Nothobranchius furzeri: one gene and its partners. The protein of the gene in region 2 interacts with the protein of the main gene of each other region in a pairwise test. Links are inferred from orthologs where the notes say so. Each region holds a gene or a part of one and is shown on either strand. Other genes may lie near its edges. The genes, in order: pias2, ccndbp1, cullin-5 and ilf2.

Evidence for each region.
Region 1: the proteins of ccndbp1 (region 2) and pias2 interact in binary tests that used the Homo sapiens proteins (3 or more experiments, as listed by UniProt). The two-hybrid records come from large-scale screens. The link is inferred for Nothobranchius furzeri from reciprocal best matches to the Homo sapiens genes CCNDBP1 and PIAS2.
Region 3: the proteins of ccndbp1 (region 2) and cullin-5 interact in binary tests that used the Homo sapiens proteins (3 or more experiments, as listed by UniProt). The two-hybrid records come from large-scale screens. The link is inferred for Nothobranchius furzeri from reciprocal best matches to the Homo sapiens genes CCNDBP1 and CUL5.
Region 4: the proteins of ccndbp1 (region 2) and ilf2 interact in a two-hybrid assay, tested with the Homo sapiens proteins (2 studies listed by BioGRID and IntAct). The two-hybrid records come from large-scale screens. The link is inferred for Nothobranchius furzeri from reciprocal best matches to the Homo sapiens genes CCNDBP1 and ILF2.

The regions. Positions count from the first base shown.
Region 1 is NC_091757.1:20,892,463-20,897,878, reverse strand, and holds the start of pias2 (E3 SUMO-protein ligase PIAS2), read right to left. Parts: upstream 3,729-5,416; 5' UTR 3,636-3,728; intron 1-3,635. UniProt on the Homo sapiens protein: Functions as an E3-type small ubiquitin-like modifier (SUMO) ligase, stabilizing the interaction between UBE2I and the substrate, and as a SUMO-tethering factor.
Region 2 is NC_091743.1:73,300,241-73,304,982, forward strand, and holds part of ccndbp1 (cyclin-D1-binding protein 1 homolog), read right to left. Parts: intron 4,463-4,742; coding exon 4,383-4,462; intron 3,942-4,382; coding exon 3,860-3,941; intron 3,577-3,859; coding exon 3,480-3,576; intron 549-3,479; coding exon 475-548; intron 1-474. UniProt on the Homo sapiens protein: May negatively regulate cell cycle progression. May act at least in part via inhibition of the cyclin-D1/CDK4 complex, thereby preventing phosphorylation of RB1 and blocking E2F-dependent transcription.
Region 3 is NC_091750.1:27,991,080-27,995,821, forward strand, and holds part of cullin-5, read right to left. Parts: intron 3,995-4,742; coding exon 3,864-3,994; intron 3,776-3,863; coding exon 3,668-3,775; intron 3,596-3,667; coding exon 3,531-3,595; intron 3,445-3,530; coding exon 3,312-3,444; intron 248-3,311; coding exon 116-247; intron 1-115. UniProt on the Homo sapiens protein: Core component of multiple cullin-5-RING E3 ubiquitin-protein ligase complexes (ECS complexes, also named CRL5 complexes), which mediate the ubiquitination and subsequent proteasomal degradation of target proteins.
Region 4 is NC_091751.1:23,257,578-23,263,116, forward strand, and holds the start of ilf2 (interleukin enhancer-binding factor 2 homolog), read right to left. Parts: upstream 3,523-5,539; 5' UTR 3,370-3,522; coding exon 3,365-3,369; intron 3,052-3,364; coding exon 2,992-3,051; intron 2,365-2,991; coding exon 2,322-2,364; intron 2,195-2,321; coding exon 2,090-2,194; intron 2,002-2,089; coding exon 1,924-2,001; intron 1,684-1,923; coding exon 1,581-1,683; intron 1,188-1,580; coding exon 1,122-1,187; intron 887-1,121; coding exon 770-886; intron 281-769; coding exon 202-280; intron 127-201; coding exon 39-126; intron 1-38. UniProt on the Homo sapiens protein: Chromatin-interacting protein that forms a stable heterodimer with interleukin enhancer-binding factor 3/ILF3 and plays a role in several biological processes including transcription, innate immunity or cell growth.

The DNA of each region.
Region 1 (5,416 bases), on a different chromosome or scaffold from region 2:
TAAATGTGATGGGTAACTGGGTGATGAAACTAGCGACAGACAACGATCTAAGTGAGACATCCTCATCTTAATCTGCTCCAGTAGGTAAATAAAATGTTTAAGATAACGTTACCTTGATTTGTTAGCTTCCGTTTCGCTAATGGTGCGTTCGCTTTCTCCTCGGAACTCCGAATTTCCGACTAGAAGAACATGAACGCGCTCTAAAGTTTGGCTTTACTTTACTAAATGCGACGGGTGATTGGGTGAAGGTAAAACCAGTGACAACGATCTAAGTTTGAGGCATCATCGTTTTAATCTGCTCCAGCAGCTAAATAAACTGTTAAAGATAACGTTAGCTTGATATGTTAGCTTCCATTGCCACCGTTGTTATCAGCTAATGGTGCGTTCGCTTTCTCCTCGGAAATTCTAACTTCCCAGTAGGAAAAATCAAATGAAAAAGGACGGCAAAAGGAATGAAGATACACAGTAAATTTAGTTCACAGTAAAGATGTTTGCTTCTGTTTAATTATCAGCTTATAAAACTACAAGGACGATGTTAAAATACAAACTTGTATGTTATTTATCTTGATATTTACCAAATATGGTTATATATTGAGAAAAATATATATTTAATTATAAAAGAGAATTAAAATAATAAACACTCAAAAGTATCGAAAATTGGTACCGTTAAGTACCGGTATCGACTCGTAGGTACCGGGAATTAGTACCGGATCGATTCAAATGTCAAAGGTACCCATCCCTACTGTGAACTAAATTTACTGTGTATCTTCATTCCTTTTGCCGTCCTTTTTCATTTGATTTTTCCTACTGGGAAGTTAGAATTTCCGAGGAGAAAGTGAACGCACCATTAGCTGATAACAACGGTGGCAATGGAAGCTAACATATTAAGCTAACGTTATCTTTAACAGTTTATTTAACTGCTGGAGCAGATTAAAACGATGATGCCTCACACTTAGATCGTTGTCGCTGGTTTCATCTTCACCCAATCACCGGTCACGTTTAGTAAAGTGAAGCCAAACTTTAGAGCGCGTTCATGTTCATCTAGTCGGAAATTCGGAGTTCCGAGGAGAAAGCGAACGCACCATTAGCAAAACGGAAGCTAACATATCAAGGTAACGTTATCTTAAACATTTTATTTACCTACCAGAGCAGATTAAGATGATGACTCACTTAGATCGTTGTCTGTCGCTGGTTTCATCACCCAGTTACCCGTCACATTTAGTGAAGTGGACCCAAGCGTTAGCGTGCGTTCTTCTTTCTACCATGCTGCTCTGATTACAACTCGCTCGCAGGGACCGACGACATAACGCTCTTGCGTATGCGCAGCTTTCTTGGCAAGTTCTCGTTATGAAGGACGGGTACCGAAACGAGGCACCGTTTGAAATGACGTTAATCGGTGCTCGGTCGGTACTATAGAAAAGGTGTTCCTCTTCGGAACGAAAACCTCGTTGTCGCTCTCAGCCGCAGCCGAAGCCATGTTTGCTCACACACAGGTGAAAACAAGCGGGGCACTAATATATTACTATGACTCATTCTGATTGGTTAAGGGTCAAACAAAGGCGTGTCATTCGCCTGGGGTAAGTTCCCTTTTCATTCAGAGGCAGAAATTCAACAGCAGAATCGTGATAAAATGGTCTCTCAAAAATGACAGACCGTCAGATGTATAGATCGTAAAACAGTCTAAAATCGTCATATCGCCCAGCCCTACGCTGATGGTGGCGTCACTTCCTACTCCGTTTATCCTCGGGCAGCAGAGGACGTTGTCGCCCTCTGCTGCCCGATCTCCCCTCTCCGACGATGCAGTCCCATGCGCGATCCAACGAGTAAACACCATCGTCTCTGTTCATGGTCCCACATCCACGTCTCCTTATCTCGATAGCTTCTTTTATGATCCTTGTGTTGTCCCAGTCCATTATATGCTCTTCTCTTGTGCAGTGATCTGTTACGGCTGACTTCTTTATTGTGCTTTCTGCTTCTTCTTTTGCTGCTCTTGTGTGTTTTCGATTTGCCTCTTTCTCGCACTCCTTTATATGTTCTATTGTTCGTGTGTTGAGTTGGTGTCCGGTTTCTCCTACGTATGTTTTATTGCAGAGTTTGCATGGGATTTCGTAAACGACTCCACATTTAAGTCCAGCTAGTATCTTGTCTTTTGGGTGTACTAGTCTGTTTTTAACTGTTGTGTATGGTTTTGTTGGTGTGTTTATGTTGTGTTTTTTCATTGTTGCTCTTATTTTTTCTGTTATGCCTTTGATGCATGGTAAGGTTATCACTGGTTTTGGTTCTTGTCTTTCTGGGTTTCTGGTTCTTTGCTTTGGTTGTTCTTTTCTTTCTGTTGTTGTTTTCCTTTGTTTGTTGCCCATGTCGGGTAACATGCGCCGGCTACCTCGCTTTCCCGTCTTCTACGATGCTTTCTTCTCGAGCTGGGGCGGACAGAGGGCCGACACATCTCGGCTTGGGGGGGGAGAGCACACGGGCAGTCCAAACAACAACACCATCCGTGAGGTTCCCAGCGTGCAGCGCCCGCTACATCAACAGGACGAAGCCTCAGCAGCGCAGTTCGATCATAAGTCACCAGAGAAGCCACACCATTCAAAAAAGCATTAGACACAACAAAAATACATAAAAAGCCAATAAAATCCAAGGTTCCACTGCGTAAAGAGGACGAGCAGCTCGCTGCATGCACCTGTGCAAGCACCATCTGAACTCAACCCCCCCCTCCTTTTGTCACATCGCAATTTAATTGCACATGCAGTTAATCGTTCAGCCCTAATATGCATGCAGCTCTATGCTAAAAGTGTATTTTCAAAGAGGTAATGATGGATTTCTTTGTAAAAGTTGTCCATCTTTCCAATAGAAAGATTTGCCTGGACCAACGTAACGTGATAACAACGTAACGTGATTACGTAATTCCGTGAGGTTCATGTTCAGCCAATCAACTACTTTGACGTCATCGGCAGTCGACGGACCCCGAGCCGATCTTGCACCCGAGCAGATCCTGTACCGACACCGTCTTCTGTACAGTGAGCTTAAATAAAATGCCTTATTATTTTTGTTATTCTACTTCATGACTGTAAGCTGTCATAAATAGCTTCTATAACCCAACCCAGCATCTTCTCGCTATTTCTCTGTGGTGGAATCACCTGTTCAGCAGTTCATCACGCGCTGCACAAGCCCATAGACTACAACCTAACGTGTTGGAGAAGAGACACAAAACATGCAGGATAGTGGCCCTGGAAAGCAGGGTTAGTGTTCTCCTGGACTGGTTACACTGACTCGAAAGGTCACGGTTATGTGTAATCATAATCTAACTAGCAGAACAAGTACTCCGTCCAAACACCGCATAACCAGCTGTTCCTAACCCTGGTTGTATTCAACAACGTGTATGTAATACGGTAGCTACAAGTACACTCTAGCGGGAGGTTTTCAGCGGCTCACAAACACATACAACACATCTGTTAGCATAAGAGCTAACCAAAAAGCACCAAATATCCGAGTCGAAACTAAACCCGTGTTTAGTTTTGAGTGTCTCAACCAGAGATAAGGGGCTTCACACAGGAGACGCTCCGTTTAAAGGGAAACAGCAAGCGCTTCGTTGACTGAAATTTGTCAGAATTAATGTGAATGTTTTCACTTACCTGTAACTCTCGGTAGTCCGCCATCTTGATATGCCTCATTTCTTCTTCGTGACTCTCGGAGGTTGTCTTTGACCCGCCCTAACAGAACGTTATCGCCGCCAAGTGCATTGAAAGACCGGAACCAGAAACAGGAAGTGGAAACTTGTTTTTAATTGAACATCAATCACATTACACTTTAATAACAAACAATAAAACTCAGTAGGCAACGAACAGCTTTTATCAAATACAATTGGAAAAATGTCTAAGCTGCAGAAATAACAAGATTTATAAATGATAAAGTATAAGGTAAAGTAACAGACAGAGGACTTTAGTTCAAAAGATCTTCAACAACACTGACAAGTTCAACAGCCTGTATATTATTTACCTTTTTAAGGGATTTGCAAAAAGTAATAAAATCATTTTTGGAAAAATGACAGGCTTGGCTTCACTTTCATAAAACTGCATTTGTGAATAAAGAATTTCCCAAAAATTATCAAACTGTTAACAATGAATTGAATGTGTTTGTTTTTTCTATAGAGCTCCGGGAGTTGACGTCACTTCTCCCAGCATGCAACAGTTCAAATCGAAACGGCACCATTTTGGCAGGCAGAAGCCGGCAGCTAGACTATGTTATAAATCTCACACGGGAAATATGGTCGATTCCTGTTGTGCCCCAGGATGCCAGAACAGACGGGGACAAGTCAAGGGAAGATCCTTCTACAGGATTCCCCAAGATCCGGAACGCCGCAAACGTTGGATCATTGTAATAAAATGCACTGGTGACCGGGCTAAAATGGAGCTGTGGGACCCCGAGAGTAAAGGATTTCACTTATGCAGCGACCGCTTCATATCAGGTACTTAAACTAACGTTTCCTCAACTGTGTGTGGTATTTATTTTTAAATGCTTTTATTACGATTCTTAGCGGGCTTCCTAAACTTATTTTGGCGTGGCTTTTTCTGTCTTATTACTCATAGCAACAAGTAAACATCACGTAAAACGTTGCCTCGTGATTTCTGCGTGCTGCCGTTTCCGTGTTTTATGATCACAGCAATTAACCGGCTAAGCTGTATTTAATTTTTAAGCAATGGTTGATCAAGTGTCAGATCACACATCAAAAACACTTTGGATTGCAATTATCTGTGTCACCGAGACAGCTCTCAGACAGATCCTGAGACGTTCCTGCCTGACATATTTATTTTATTCACGGAAAAAAAAATCAAACTAGTGATTTCTCTTGGCGTTCAGTTTATACATTCAAACAGCACAGCACTCTATTTAAACTACTTACGTGTAAATCTGTTATTTGTCCATCCATCCATCCATTTTCATCCGCTTATCCAGAGTCGGGTTGCGGGGACAGTAGCGTCGAGAGGCCCTGACTTCCCTCTCCCCCAGCCGCCAAAGCCAGCTCCTCCGGGGGAATCCCAAGGGGTTCCCCGGCCAGGTCCAGTAAGAAGTCCGCTCCGACAGCTTCTGGCGTTTTTAAAAAGTATCCCAGGGACACGGTAAGGGTCAGAGATGTTTAGTCTATTTAATTTCTGACTGTGTAAAACGATTTCTTCGGTTTTAAAGTGTGAAGTAAACTCCAACGAAGTAAAATCCAAGCCGATCCTGTTCATGTTCATGTGTTTGTTTACCTTTTTTTACCTGCCAAAATGGCGTCTACTCACTGAGAGTCACGTGGGGTCCGGAGCTCTATACAACCAAACTTGTGAGAACCATTTTAACTGAAGGTGTAGTTATTGGGTTTGACACTAGATGGAGGCAAACCCACTGATCTTTTGAACAAGTCACTGGCTGT
Region 2 (4,742 bases):
TTGTCTCAGTAAAACAGGATGGAACTGAAGATTATGTTGCTAGAAAACGTTTGCTTGGTTCAGTCGTGCAGTTACAGGGGTGAAAGATAAACTAGAAGGAATTTAATTAAATATGGCCGTGTCATAAAATATTCTGGATATTACAATTTTATTATATTACAGTTTGTGGAGCTGGTTACTATGAAAAGTTAGTTTTAAAACCAAACAAAAACTGACCTAAAGAAGTCACCACTGATCCGAACAATGGAGCTTATTTAAATAAAAAGCAGTTTGGCCTTTGTGTTATGAACACTGATCATATTAAAGCAGAAAAATGACTTTTTTCTAGTAGAATTCTCTTAAATGTGTGATTAAAATGAAGGAGACCAGAATTTGATTCAAACAAGAAAAGCTTACTGTCTGCTGCCAGAAACAAATAAATAAAACAGTGTTGAGCAGGGACAGCCTTTTACTGCCCCTGTGAAATCAGCTCACCTCGTGGTAACTGGGCAAACAGGTCACAGGCAGTCCAAACTCCTCCTGTTGATGTGAGCTGTTCCTGGGTCAGACTGGATGACAGCAGAGGAGGAGGAAGAGGCATGAAACAAACCGGTGAAATGCACAAAGATGGAGATTAAGACTATAGAAGGAAAAAACTATTTTTGTTTTGTTGAAAGTTAAATTAGTTCGTTCTTATTACCTGAGAGCTTCCAACAACTTCTTTGTTTGCATCTGTTTTTTAATCTTGAGGAGTCTGAATAGAACTTTTTCAACTAGACCGCCCAGTGCCAGATTATTTTTGTTTGATTCAATTCAAATCAATTCAGTGTATTTGTGTAGTGCCAAGAGTCGTCTCGTTGTCTAGTGAAGGCACTTCACTAAGTAAACATTCCAATTGAACCTACTTATCAGTTCAGTTCATTATTGGCCTTGCCTGCCAGACTGTCTACACAGAGAACTGGTCTGGTTACTCACAGCAGAGAGGCCCATGAGGGACAAGACAAGCCAGCTAAAGAATAACCAATCAGAAAAGGGGAGGAAATGCCAAAATTTAATGTGCAACGCTGTTGTTTTTTAGCTGTAGTAAAAAAATGGTGTCTGGCGATGACGCAAACATCTTTCTTTAGAAGAAAGGCTTTTAACACGTCTACTTGTTGCGGTTTTAAAAACGTGTTCAAGTCATTTAGAACTGAGGAAAGAGCCGCAGCGAACTCTGCTTCAGACGGCGTCTTCGTTGTTTATAAGAAACTCAGCATGGTGGTGTGTGACACACGCTGTTCAGCGCTTATTGGCTCAGTTAGAATTCTCAGGGGATGATTTGAATAGGAGAGTTCCCAGCCCCATGCTTCCAGCCCAAGCCCCCACAATGCGGGTGAAAAATTGAAGCAACTCCGGAAATGAAATAAATTGCAGTTCCACCCTCATCCACTGGGGGCTGGTGTCAGAAGCGAGCAAATCCTCATTGACTCCCATGTTAAAAATACCAATTTCACAGCAGAAATAAGTGTACTAAAAGCCTAAAATTCTGTATAATTAATGAGCATCAGACTCAGGTGACCGCAGAGCTAGCTCCGGGGAAAGGCCTCAGTCTGAGCCTCGGTCTGGCCTGGATTAGTTGTAGCGTTTGTGCATTCTTTTTGGATATTATTTGTGCAATTGTTGGACAAAATGACTTGCTGTGGCATTAATTGCACTAATAGAGCATCCAAGGAGTTACCACTTCATTTTTTTCGGTAAGTAAAATTATATTTATGTATTTTAGGTCACTGCTGAGCTGAGCTTAGATTTTAACATGTACTGATTAACCATGAAATTTAAATGTAATAGGGTAAAACCCAGTGCATTTAACATAATGCTGCACTTTAGAAAATGGGTTGAAATATAACATGTTGGTGGAGCTGGGTTCCGACTATCAGCTTGTGGAGCTCTTGGGAGACCTCTGTTTTCCACCCAGTTCTTCCCTCCCCGCAGCTCGGCGCATCTCTGTCTGATCGCGGCTTCTGTCTGCTGCGCGGGCTGCTGGCTTGTGGAGCTCTGGGATGGAAACCTTTCCACCCGGTTCTCCCCAGCGGCAGCTCTGCGCATCGCAGATCGCAGCGGCGCTTGTCTGCTGTGCGGCTGCCGGCTTGTGGAGCTCTCGGAGACCTCTGTGTTCCACCCGGTTTTACCCAGCGGTTAGCCCGGCGTATCTCTGACTCAGAAGCTCTGGTGTTGTGCACAGTTAACTCCGGTTGTAGCTAGGTTGCTACCTCCGTTAGCTTAGCTCCCACCTCCGCGTTAGCTGTAGGTTAGCTTGTAGCTAGTTCGACCGGGTGTCGTCAGTTGATCCCAGCCTTACAGCCACACCCTCAGCTCCACCTCTCTTCCCTTTTGTGGAATTGTCTGGGCTTGACAGAACCTGTGACACGGTCAAAATGGCGGTGGTGACCACCTCCCATTTATCTTCAAAAATGTGTTATTGGAGCCTATGGAAACCCAATGTCCAATATTTATATGTCGATGCATTGAACTTGATTAAAAATGACTTCTTTCTAAACTTGTGAACAGCTGGATGACATCCTGGACCTGTGGCTTCAGCTTCAATCTCATCCAGGAGATTTTCACAACATCGTCTTCTAGACGTGTTCGACTGTCAAAGGACTCAACATTTACTGTGAGCTCGTAAAACATGTTTCACACCCTGATGCAAGGTACACACACACACACACACACACACACACACACACACACACACACACAAACACAAGCCACACTTCACCACTTCCCACAAACACACATGAAAATTCACGTGTTTCCCCTGTAAAAATCACTCCCCAATTTACTATCATCTTGTGGTTCACCAAGTTTCCACCTTTTATACAGATCAGTTATTTCCTATCACTGCCATAACGCTTTGGGTTAACAATTGTCTTAATTCCATGCATGAAACGATAAGCTGTGTTTGGTACTTTTTGTCATGTCTCAACTGCTGTTTGTAATAAATTCACAAAACTTAAATCATGCCTGATCATTGTCTAGCGATCTCGAGAATAGTCGACGCATTCTGACAAGAATTCAGCTTTCAGATTAATTTTTGATGTTAACTTTGAGGCCGATTACATTGAGAAGATATAGATATTAAATCCAATGGTACAGTTTCACAAAACTGGTGGTGCCCCGATTAATTAATATAAGATTATAAACAACTAAACAAGCTAAATCTACACCACATTTGAAATATAGATATAAATCTATTTTTATCACTACACTGAGAATGAATAATGTTTAGTTCTGATGAGTCTGTTGTCCTTTTAGTTTGGTTTTGTATCGTTTTTATTTTGCTTGATCTTCTTAGCCTTTTGTGGGATTAAGGCGAAAGGATTTAAATATTTGTTATAGCCATTTATTTCTGCATTTTGGTCTCTAACATTTTTTTCTACACTCTGTGGTAGATATTTCAATTCTTAAGCCCTCCACAGTGAAATCAATAAATGGTTTTAACCGAGTTCTGTAGCGTTTACCTGTGTAGCGGTAAGCTGAGTATGACCTCCAGCAGTTGTGTAACTCCCTCCAGAACCCCAACAGTGGCTTCTCTGACCTGTCGACGTAGAGTCACACCTGAGACACCGGGAGACACACAACCCAAACAACACATCAAACTTCATTTAGACAGCAGACAAACATTTAGGTCAGTTTTAAATGAATTCATCTCAACCAGCAGGCAAGCTCTTATGTGTTTTTGTGCAAGAAAAGCAGAGCAGATGGTTATCCACATATAGAAAAGGGTAACTATTGCTTAGGCTACTTAGACATGTTTATGAAAATTGATTTTCTAATTTGAAAACAAAGCCATAGTCAACTATTAAAACCCAGAAATGATCATGTAGTTAATGAGTGTTACCATAGCTCTTGGGCAGCCAGTAATACACGGTGGACAGAGTCAGGAGGCTCTTCAGGATAGACTCTGATAACTTCTCAGCATCCTGCAGTACAACAAAGTTTACATGACAGCCTGAATCATGAAGGACTGAGAAACGATAGGAAGATAAACATATACGACTGAAAAGTTTGAAAGAACATCTAGCTCAGGTTTTAAACATTTTAATAAACAGATTGTGAATAGGAAATCGCTGAGTGGCACATGTCAGCATAAATGTGCAGTTTCCGGGTCTGCAGCCTTGTACCATTGAGGAATTCTTATGGGTGGAGACAGGACTTCATCAAATCCAAATGCCCTTTTACTGGGTTGAAGGGATGGCTTAAAAAATAAAATTCTATTTCAGAAATGATGACAACTTAATCGTGCCAATGGTAACATTTTATCATATACTGTGCCGACAGTTGTTCTGGAAGGTGTAAAATAACATGATACAGTCCCTTTACGTTTTGTGTGAATAATAACTTATAACAACAAACAAACTAACCTGTAAAGAGGGGAGCGGAGGTCTGGAGAAGGCTAGGCTGAGTTTAGTGGCTTCCTGGGACACTGCCTTTACTGCTTGGTCTGATTACAAACAACAGTTAGATAGATTAAATTTTTGATTATATAGTATAGATGACAGTGTCCTAATGTCAGAAATAATAGTAAGTCAGATAGAGCTGATGAGCAAAAGAGACTTGCCTTAATAGGTAACGTTCACATTATGTACTCAACAGTGCAAGATCGTTGATACAAAAAAAAACATGAAAAATCTTTTGTAAAAAAAATTGAAAACCTTAATATTGACAAATGAGATAATTGCTTTGTGCTACAGAAAATGGCCTAAGACACATATGTCAGACAC
Region 3 (4,742 bases), on a different chromosome or scaffold from region 2:
TCAAACAATCAGGATGATGACACGAGGACTATAGAGGAGGTGATATTTTAATGCACATCCCGGTTTGTTTATCAGAGTGAAATAAAAACACGACAGGCTTCCCACACATGCGTACCCTGAGCCACTCCACCATGTTCTCCTCGATCTCGCTGTCTGCTGAGATGTCCAGGATGAGGCGGCGGGTCAGGTGGGCTTTGTGGTATCGCATGAACACGTCTTTGTTCTGGACGTACTTCAGCACTAAAAGCTAGACAAAGTCAAACGGTTGATTAGATTGAGTCTGTGTGTCGCTCATTCGTTCATTTTCAACTTAAAACCAAAACTAAAATAAAGGAAAAAGGAAAAAAACGACAGTCTTTTTCTAAATCTGATCTTGTTGTCCACATTTTCTGTTTTAGTCTCGGATCAAAAACAGAAAATGGAAAAGTGCACCGAAGGACAGTTTCACATGGACCGGTACCAATATGGCTCAACTCAGACCTAGTCCACACGTAGCCGGGGTTTTTAAAAAACAAATATCCGCCCCTCCAAAAACTTGCATCCACACCACCTCGTTTAAAAACAAACTCTGTCCACACGTACCCGGATAAATACGTTGTTAAGGACATGCCAGACCTGTAGGGGGCAGTACTTCCCCCGTTCTTAACCTCGTCCTTCGTCTGTGGTCTTCCGCAAGGAGCAGTAATTCCGCTTTCAAAAACAAACAAGCAGAAAGCGCTTGGACAATTGATAAAGCGAGCGCAGCTCTGAGGGCATCCATGATGTCGGCTAGTGTAAACACAGGTCGCACACGTGATGTCAGCATTTTTTGTCGCGGAAAAAGACGTTGCGAACCTTAAAACTCCGGTTTTGTCCGTCCACACGCAGACACCCAAAACGGAGAAAACGCAGATCTTCACTTTGGCCGGAGTTTTTTAAAAGATCCGTTTTCTTGTGAAAAAACTCCGTTTTCGTGTGGACGACAGGCCAAAACGTAGGAAAATATCTACGTTTTGGCAGATCCCCGGCTACGTGTGGACAGGGCCTGATTTTCAGTATATGAAATTTCAATTTTAGGAGGAAAAATGAAAAGAAAAAGAAATGTTTGGATTTTGATGACAGACTAATATGATTATACACGCTTTTATGGACTGATTTAATGAAAGAGTAAGTGCTGAAAGCAGACGTTGTTTTGTTGTCTAAAACCGAAAACCAGACGACCTATTAAAACACTTTTGTTCTGATCTCATCACCAAAGTTATTTTTGTCTCAACATCTGGAAACGAACACTGAGCCGTCTACTTATGTTCACAGAAGTGATGAGGCTCTTGTTAAAGGCCAAGTTCACTGAGAAACATCTTTTTAATTTGTTATTTTTTAAATACGATCGGTCACTCTGGGTTTAACATGCAGGCTGAATGTGAAAATAGTCTTCTACCCTATTTTCTGCATGAGCTTCTGATAGAAAACAGATCCTGAAATGCGTGGGTTATAAAAGTCAGCGACATTAGCGTGTTATAATGTCAAATTGGCATTCATGGACCCACCCATCTTGACAGATGGGAAAGGCTCTTGTTGGTTCAGCGTCCAGGAAACCGTAGAGAACGTCTCAGCTAGAAGATGCTAACCGTTAGCATTAGCAACTCCACCACACAGCAGAGCTCCTTCAGGTTTGTGTTATTTGTGGAGATAATACATCAACGTTGCAGAGAAAACTGAGTCCGTAGCAAAGTCACATTGCTGTTATCCAATCAGAGGAGAGGTGTCCAAATACCAGGAAATACGACTCCAAATCCCACCGTCACCTGCTCTGCTCCCCTCCCCCTTTTTGCTAACGTCTACTTCCTGAGGCAGGAGCGCCAGAGCTTTATTCCAACAGAGATGGGCTCACAAGGCATTAGCTCATACTAGAGACCACCGCAGATGTGTTGAAAAAACAAGTGAACTTGGTCTTTAAAGAAATGTTCTTGGCTTGTTAAAATAATCAGGTGAGAAATAGAAATATGACTTTTTTTGTTTTCACCCACAAAGTGAACAATAAAGTAACAACGCTCATCTTTCATTTTTTCACCAACATATTTTCACTTATAATTAGAGACGTGGCGCAGTCGACCGGATCCGTGCGGACTGCTTGGTGCACGCTCTTGACGCAGGAGCACGCGGTCTGACGGGCATAACTGTATCAACACAACACCTGAGCTCGTAAAGATGACCCGTTAAATAAGAACATCAAGCCTGTTCTTCAATTTCATATTTTTGAACCAAGACAAAATTTCAAAATATGGGAAAGCAGATTCATTTTTCAACTTTAAATGCTATCAATTTACTTACTTCTAATTAGGGATGTAAGAAAATATCGATATGGCAATATAGCGTGATATTTTTTCTAGCAATATTATATCGATATTCAAAAGCCGTGTATCGGAAATATCGATATGTCAATATATCGTGATTTTTTTCTAGCAATATTATATCGATATTCAAAAGCCGTGTATCGGAAATATCGATATGACAATATATCGTCATATTTTTTCCTGCAATTATTACATCGATATTCAAAAGCCGTGTATCTAATTCTTGAAAGAATTTACATGCAAACTTTTGTGTATTTTCTTTTCGTTTTGTGCAATTCAATCGCCACCCGCTAGTTGGCAGCAGTGTGCAACGGGTTTTGTTTCCACCACTGAAATGTAAATCCCTCCATCATGGTTCAGATACCTCATGTTAAACATGTTACGTATCAGTTTGGACTGTTTATTGAACATTCTTACAATAAATTCAGTAAAAAAAATTGCTTGTAACGTCTGAATGAATGTATCGCAATATATCGTGATATATCGTATCGTCTCCCCTGTATCGTGATATGTATCGTATCGCCAGAATTTCAAAAATACACATCCCTGCTTCTAATGCCGTCCTAATATTTATTTTTCCGCACAAAAACATGCTGCATCTCTGGTAAACCGGTGAGTTAATAAGCGACAAGGCAGCAAATATTTAATGGGTAACTTTGAAATTCCTTCAGAGACGCCTAAAGACATTTTGATCAATTTGACTTCTCGTTAGAAAATGATAAATATCCAAGAATATTTGCTAGAAGATTGTAGTTCTTGGTACTGCAGCTCACACTTATTAATTTTAGCTAAACTGTATTTTTATTCAAGCTGCAAAAGAAACAGCAGCGCAGAAGTCTGGAGACACGAATGTTCCTCTTTTTCACAACTAACCAGACCCTGAAAACATAAAAAACAAATAGTTTTCAGGACACTGCAGGAGCCCCGGGGATGGGAACGATTAGTGCCCAAAACATGCAAACAGGTCCTAAAACGTACCACTTCCTTGAGCTTAGCTTCAATCTCCTCAGAGGTGAGCTTCTTACTCAGCGGAGTCTTCCTCAGAAGCATGTCGCAGTAGTTGGCCAGCAGCTCTGGACACTTCGACTCCGGCTGAGTTTTCATTCCTACCCTGTAAAAAAAACCAAAGTGTGCAAACATGAACACGCAGACGTCGATCATTTACGACTAAAACTACATCTAAAGGTGATTTCTTACGCTTTCTGCTTCATCGGAAGCTCTAGTTTAAATATTGTGGCATCGTTCACGACAGCTTTATACGCCTGTGAAAAGAATCAGCGTCGGTCAGCAAGTTTTACACGGTGAGGAGATGAAAATGACTAAATCTAACTGACTTTGTCTCTAGCTGTCAGGAAGCGAGGGTCGTCCTGAAAGGCCTCTTTGACCAGTCGACTGAAGCGGTTAAACAAGGTCAGCAGCTGCTCCACGTATTTCTCTGAATCCTGCAACAGAGACCAGATAAATAATCCTTCTGACCAGTCCGGCGAACAAAGACAGCGGGAACAGCTTAAACGTGAGTGAGATTCTCACCGAGGTGATGGTCTCCGCTGAAGCCACCATGTCAGCCAGGCCGGCGCTCATTATGTGATCCTCCAGATCCTTCAGCATGGGCTCGATGCCACTGGGAACTTTGTCCATCAGGGAGAACATCAGGTGCAGCTCTGTGATGAGTGGACAGAAGGATGAATGATATCAACATGACTGGATTATCCGTTTACACCTGGAGCTTGAGTGGCTCTGTGGTCGATAGAAGATGTTATAGTCTACGGTTTAGTTAACCGGTCGCTCCGTGTTTCAGACGCGTCGCCAACGATACGCGTGAGCTCGATTTCTGACGTACCTTGCTTCCAGAATGCATCAAGGTCCGCTGGCTAAACAGGAAATCAAAAACAGCACCGGTTTGAAGCATCCGGTAAATTTCACAATAAGACAAATGCAGATTTACGATTCCACAAAGAGTCAATTTTGCTTTCTGCATCTTTTGAGAGCAGTGTGGTGTTTTTCAGCGTGAACAATGAGCAAGTGGAGAATCACGTATTTATGACATCACACGTATTTATGACATCACATGTATTTATGACATCACGCGTATTTATGACATCACACATATTTGTGACATCACACGTATTTATGACACCACACGTATTTATGACATCATGCGTATTTATGACATCACACATATTTATGACATCACATGTATTTATACCATCAAATGTATTTATGACATCACACATATTTATGACATCACACGTATTTATGACATCACACGTATTTACGACATCACACGTATTTATGACATCACACTCTCTTTTCACGAGGAAAGGACCAAAAATTCAGCTATCAAAGTGGATGGTGGGTTTTAACGCAAACAGCGTGAATTCTCCTGTTTTTGTTGTCCGTCTGCGTGGA
Region 4 (5,539 bases), on a different chromosome or scaffold from region 2:
CCGTGGATCTTCTGGCCACAGGTGAAACCTGGACTCACCAGCAGGTCCAAGATCCACGGAGTCAGAGGTTCAAACCCCGGGAAGCGCAACCTGAGGTCCTTCAGAAGGCGAATCAGGACTTTTACTCTGAAAGTCAGAAAGATGAAATGAGTTCAGGTGAAAGGTCATATCCGTGACGCACACTAATGAAGACTAGCTCACGTCGACTGAGAGGCGTTCTCTTCAAACCAGCGGGCATGGCGGATGGCGGCGAGGGCGCTCTGCAGAACCTTGATGTCCACTGGAGGAACAGAGAGTCAGTGTTCATGGATGCAGGTTTCATTAGAAACACTGACATCATCACGGTGCTGAAGACGCTGCCGTCTCATCCACCCAGGTTTCTGGTGCATGAGGCATTAGCTAATAGCTACGCTGCGTTTTAGCATCGGTTCTGGTCCACCACAGCTCGTTAACTCCTCTCACAGCCTAACGACGGTGACCTGAAATGACCTGTTTAAAACTTTACTAGTCACATCATTACAATAATATTGCTGCAGCCAAACAATCTGAGAAATATGGCCAACAACGATTCTGTCATCCCACACACACACGGTCCAGAGGCTACCCAAACACCGTCTTACACACTCACACCACTTGTACAGATTAGAGATCAAAGGTTCAGTGGAAAGAACCGTTTAAAACGGAGAAGTCCTTAAAAAACGAGTGTCTGTGTGTGTGCATGTGTGTGTGTGTGTGTATGCATGTGTGGGTGTGTGTGTGTGTATCATACGGTGCAGCTCTGGATCCAGCTTGCGTAGGTTGGGCGGGACAGTGGTGATGAGGATCTTAACGGTTGCATCAGCTGAGCTGATCTCAAAGCCCGTCTCATTGGTCAGCATGGAGAGAACTGAAAGCGCGGGTGCACACACACACACACACACACACACACACACACACACACACACACACACACACACACACACACACACACACACACACACCATTAGTGTTTATTACATCATTAACTCACTAAAGATGCTCACTCTGTTTCTTGAGGGCACTCTGACCAACTTCAGCCTTTAGGTAAGGTCCAGAGCTGCAGATACACCCCCCCACACACACACACAGACCCACCCCCGTACCTTCTGCGGGGTCCTGGGTGCGAAGAGTCTCCACCACCTTGTTCCCGAGCGCAGCCACTGCCTCCACTGTTAGATTAAACATGAAGAGCAGAGTCAGCTTTAGCTCCAGGTGTTTAACACTGGACTCAGTATTAATCACCACTCTACCGACGGTATTCGGGGTTTAAATGACACCAAGTTGCCTCATAAACACATTTAGGATTCAGACACTTCTGTTCTCGAGTTCCTGTACGGTCTGACGAGTTTCGTCATCACTGTTAAGCTTAAAGAGGCTAAAGCTAAACAGCTTAGCTGCTGGATAGCCGGTCCGGTCGGGCTGCATGATGGGACTAGCCATGTATTTACCAACACGAGTCCAGATGTGCTCAGTGGTTTCACCAGAACATCTGTTGAAGCTGTTCCAGCAGGATGAGGCCCTAGTGACGGACCCAGGGCTGGTCTGAATGAACAATGACTCACGTGTAGGGAGGATCTTGAGGATGACAACGAGGTCAGCGACGTTGTGTCCAGTTGTCATGGTTCCCTTCTTGTATGAACCCACCTGACGAACTTCTTCTATTTGCTGTGGACAGATAACGTAAGCATGCGGGATGGCTTTGATGCGTTCTAAAAGATAAAACCGCTCAGCTACATAAAGCTCAGCCTGTGGGAGGTCTAGGAAGGTCATGACGGAAGAGAAACATTTAATCCCAGATTAGGACGTGACAGCAAACACAGATCATTACAGCCTTACTGACACCAACTCATTTACACCAGTTTCAGTAAACATGGCAGCTCTACAGGTCAGATGTTCACCACTCACCACTTCAAAGCTACCAGGGGCAACAATCAGGTTGTCGATGACATTATTGATCTTTGTGACCAAAGACAAGATGGAAGACTAGAAGCAGAAGGAAATGAAGACGTCAGGTAAGTAACCTACAGCACGATGAGACCAGTGAGGTGTTGAACTGGAATACCTAGCTGACCTGTTCTGCAGGTGAGGGGCTCAGGTCCTGGTTCCTCTTCAGCAGACACTCGCTAAACGCCGTCTCATCAGGAGCAGGTTTCACTCTGGGGAAGGCCATCTCACACTGGGGAAGGACAACAGTCTGCTTCAGAACCACAAAATGGACCGGATTCTACCAGATGCTAGTTGTAGCCATGGTTACTGATTATTCCTGCATGCTGTTCTGTTGTCTGTCACATGCGTGAACTCACCACATAGAAGTCAAATGGGATGTGCGGGACAAAAGGACGGTACCTGAGCGGGACAGAGAGAAGAACGGAGAATCGGTGGACTGGCACAAATGTCCCTACTAGTCAGAACCAGAACGTCTGACCGGGACCTTATGAAAGCTGATGTTCAAACCCAAAAAGTAGATTTTAACAATGATTTGGAGGTTTCAGTTATAACCAAGGCAGCGGTTCTTTTTGCTTCAGCACAATAACCAACAATCCGTCTTAGCTTCATCACCAGGACCACGCACAACATGAGCTGATGATTCCAGACTTTACAGCAGCTTTTTAAGGATCCAGAAATCAATGGATTGTTTCATTTGGGAAAAAATGAAGTTTAAAGAGACAGAAACAGGACGCTGCTTTCAGACAGGATGGAAAGATCTAACTGCTCTGAAGAAGTCCTTCTGGAGATGTTCTGGGGAGAGTGCCGTCGTCCTGTGTAATCACAAGAGGCTTCTTTTTCCACTTCTGAAGATCTTTCTCACTTAGACTTTTCTACTCTGATGGCTTATGGGTCCGAGTTCCATCCAGAAGCAGGAATCGAACCAGCAAACTTAAGACTAACTGTCAGATACTTTCTACAACCAGATCAAGGACCTGACTGAAAGAACCAGTATGGAACAGGAACAGAGATCAGTAAGGTACTCACCCCTGGACCATGCCTCCCCGGGCTCCGAAGCGGAGTCCTCGGCCCCTGCCGCGGTCTCCTCTGTTCACAAACACAAAACCCAGATCAGTCCAGTGCGCTCGCTACTGCCAGACTAAAGGATAAATAAAAACGCTGATCTTAGCTAACACACGTGTGTTATAGTCCTAATTCGCTACCTCAGTGTTAACTTGCTGTCGATAAAACGTAAGAGTTATCAGTAACACTGTTATTGGAGGAATAAATAAGTAACACCACGTTCAGAACGAGACTTTAACAGAAAGCTATACCGAGCTAATGGCTAACAGCTAATGACACTGATTACAGGCTAGTTAGCGTAAAGCCAACACAACCAGGTCCGGTTAGTCAGCGTTACCTCATTGCGTACGACGTTTTGATGGTTTGATGAGAGAAAACAGGGAGAACGGTTTGATATGGTTTAATGAATGAGCGGAGGCTAACTGCGGAAGGGACTAGTGTGGCACAAAGAGACTTCTGTTTCCGGCGGAATTGTTTCTTTCTTTCTGTTTTACGTCACCAACGCCGTGGTACATTACCGCCCCCAACTGGAATGGAGTGTGGACCGCATAGATATCACATATTATAGCTAGATGCGCTGTTTTTTTTATTTATTGGTATATTTTTTTGCTGCTGCCATAGCGTAACTTTATTCATTCACGTCTTTCTGGTCAAGTCTCTTTTTTAACTTTATTTCAATCTTCGTTTTCACATACATTCAGTTTACAATGTAACCTACATTCAACGTACTGAAGAATATAACAAATACAAATGACCGCACTTGAGGAAAATAAAAATGACATTTAGAACTTGCAACATTTACCGCATGGCACTACCATAAAATAAATTATGATGCAAAATAATAATAATTAAAACAAAAAATAAAATAACATCAACAACAAACAAAAAACGTTCAGAGGTTGATATTTCAGCATTATAGTTCAAACATGTTTGATTCATTGGACTGTAATTTAAAGAACAAGAAACTCAGACATTGTTTCGCACAACTCAGTTATAGATTGGTTATTTTCTGAAAATACTCTTTGAGATGTTGTAAATTGTTTTATTTAATTTTTAAAATGATTAATGTTAGGCTTGCTGTTTTTCCATTTAGTCTTATGTATTTGGTAATGTTCACCATTTTGGATATCTTTTTTGGAAGAGCATCCATGTATATCAGTACTTTAGATTACATCATTTCTCTCAATATTTACCAATCGATAAACATCCTCCTCAAAACCAAGTGTTACTGAACACGAGAAGAAAAAGGTGCTCAATAGTTTCACATTCTGTCATACAAAAGATGCACTGATTCTCACCTGCGCTGTTCGTCAATGGACCCTGACGTCCGTACGCGGCAGCCATCTTACTTCGGACAGCTGCTCTCCTCTAGCACTGTTGTTTAGTGGTGCATGAGGGGGAATTCAAGATGGCAGAGTGAGCAGGTGCTGGAAACTTGGCAGGTCTGATAAAACGGTGGGTTTTAAATGTTCTGAGAAGTAATTCTCTGATAAACAGTTATTCAGAACGAAATTGAAAGGAAATCGGTACCTGTGGAACATGTTTTTGAAGAGTTATTGGACAGATAAAGTAGCAAACACAAAAAATCAAATGACTAACATGGCGGCGCTAATAGGTAGTCTTTCCGACCATGACTACAACCTTGCGGCAATGAAGGAAGCATGTGCGGACGAAGACATTGAGGAGATGGAGCATCAACAGATAGCAGCAAGACCCACTGGTGATCACACTCCAATAAAAAGCCCCAATCAAAAAAAAAAACCTGAAAAATAAAGCTACTGGCAAACAGATATGCAATGAAAACATCTATGAAGCCCTGCTGGCCTTTCCAGAAAGATTTGATCTGCTAGACAAAAATCTGAAAGCTTTTGACCTTAGGATAGAGGCAAATGGCAACTGAAGAAAACAAAAAGGAAACAGACAAGCTCAAAACAAGGATGGAGGCTTTAACGAAGGAAAACAAAGAACTGAAGGAAAGATGTCTGGAAAACTCAAGATACCGAAGAAGATGGGACCTCAGACTACTTGGCCTGGCAGAAAAAGAGGGTGAAAATACACGGGATAGAGTGATTGGCATCCTGACGAGAGTGATTCCTGTGTCAGTGGAAAAGCTGCAGCTCATGGTGGATACAGTACATCGAATCGGGAAGAAGGGCGACGCTGCAAACAACAAGCTGCCAAGACCGATCATCGTTCAGTTTAGCATGAGGGCAGCAAGGGATGAAGTGTGGAGGAAATCCAGGGAGGCCAGGGTTTGCAAAGAACTGCACATAAACGTTAAAGAGGACTTCTCCAAAGAGGATAAGGAAGCTCGGATCAAGCTGTGGCCCAAGGAGCTGGAGGCTCAAAACAACGGCAGAAGAGCATTCCTGAAAGACGGGTTTGCTATAACAGATGGCAAAAGAATTGACCCATAATATGCATGCAGAAATAATAAAAGTGGAATGGCATAGGTAAATCTGGAGGTAGATAAAAAGTTCTGGTTCCTAATAAAAAAAAAGGGGGGGGGGTC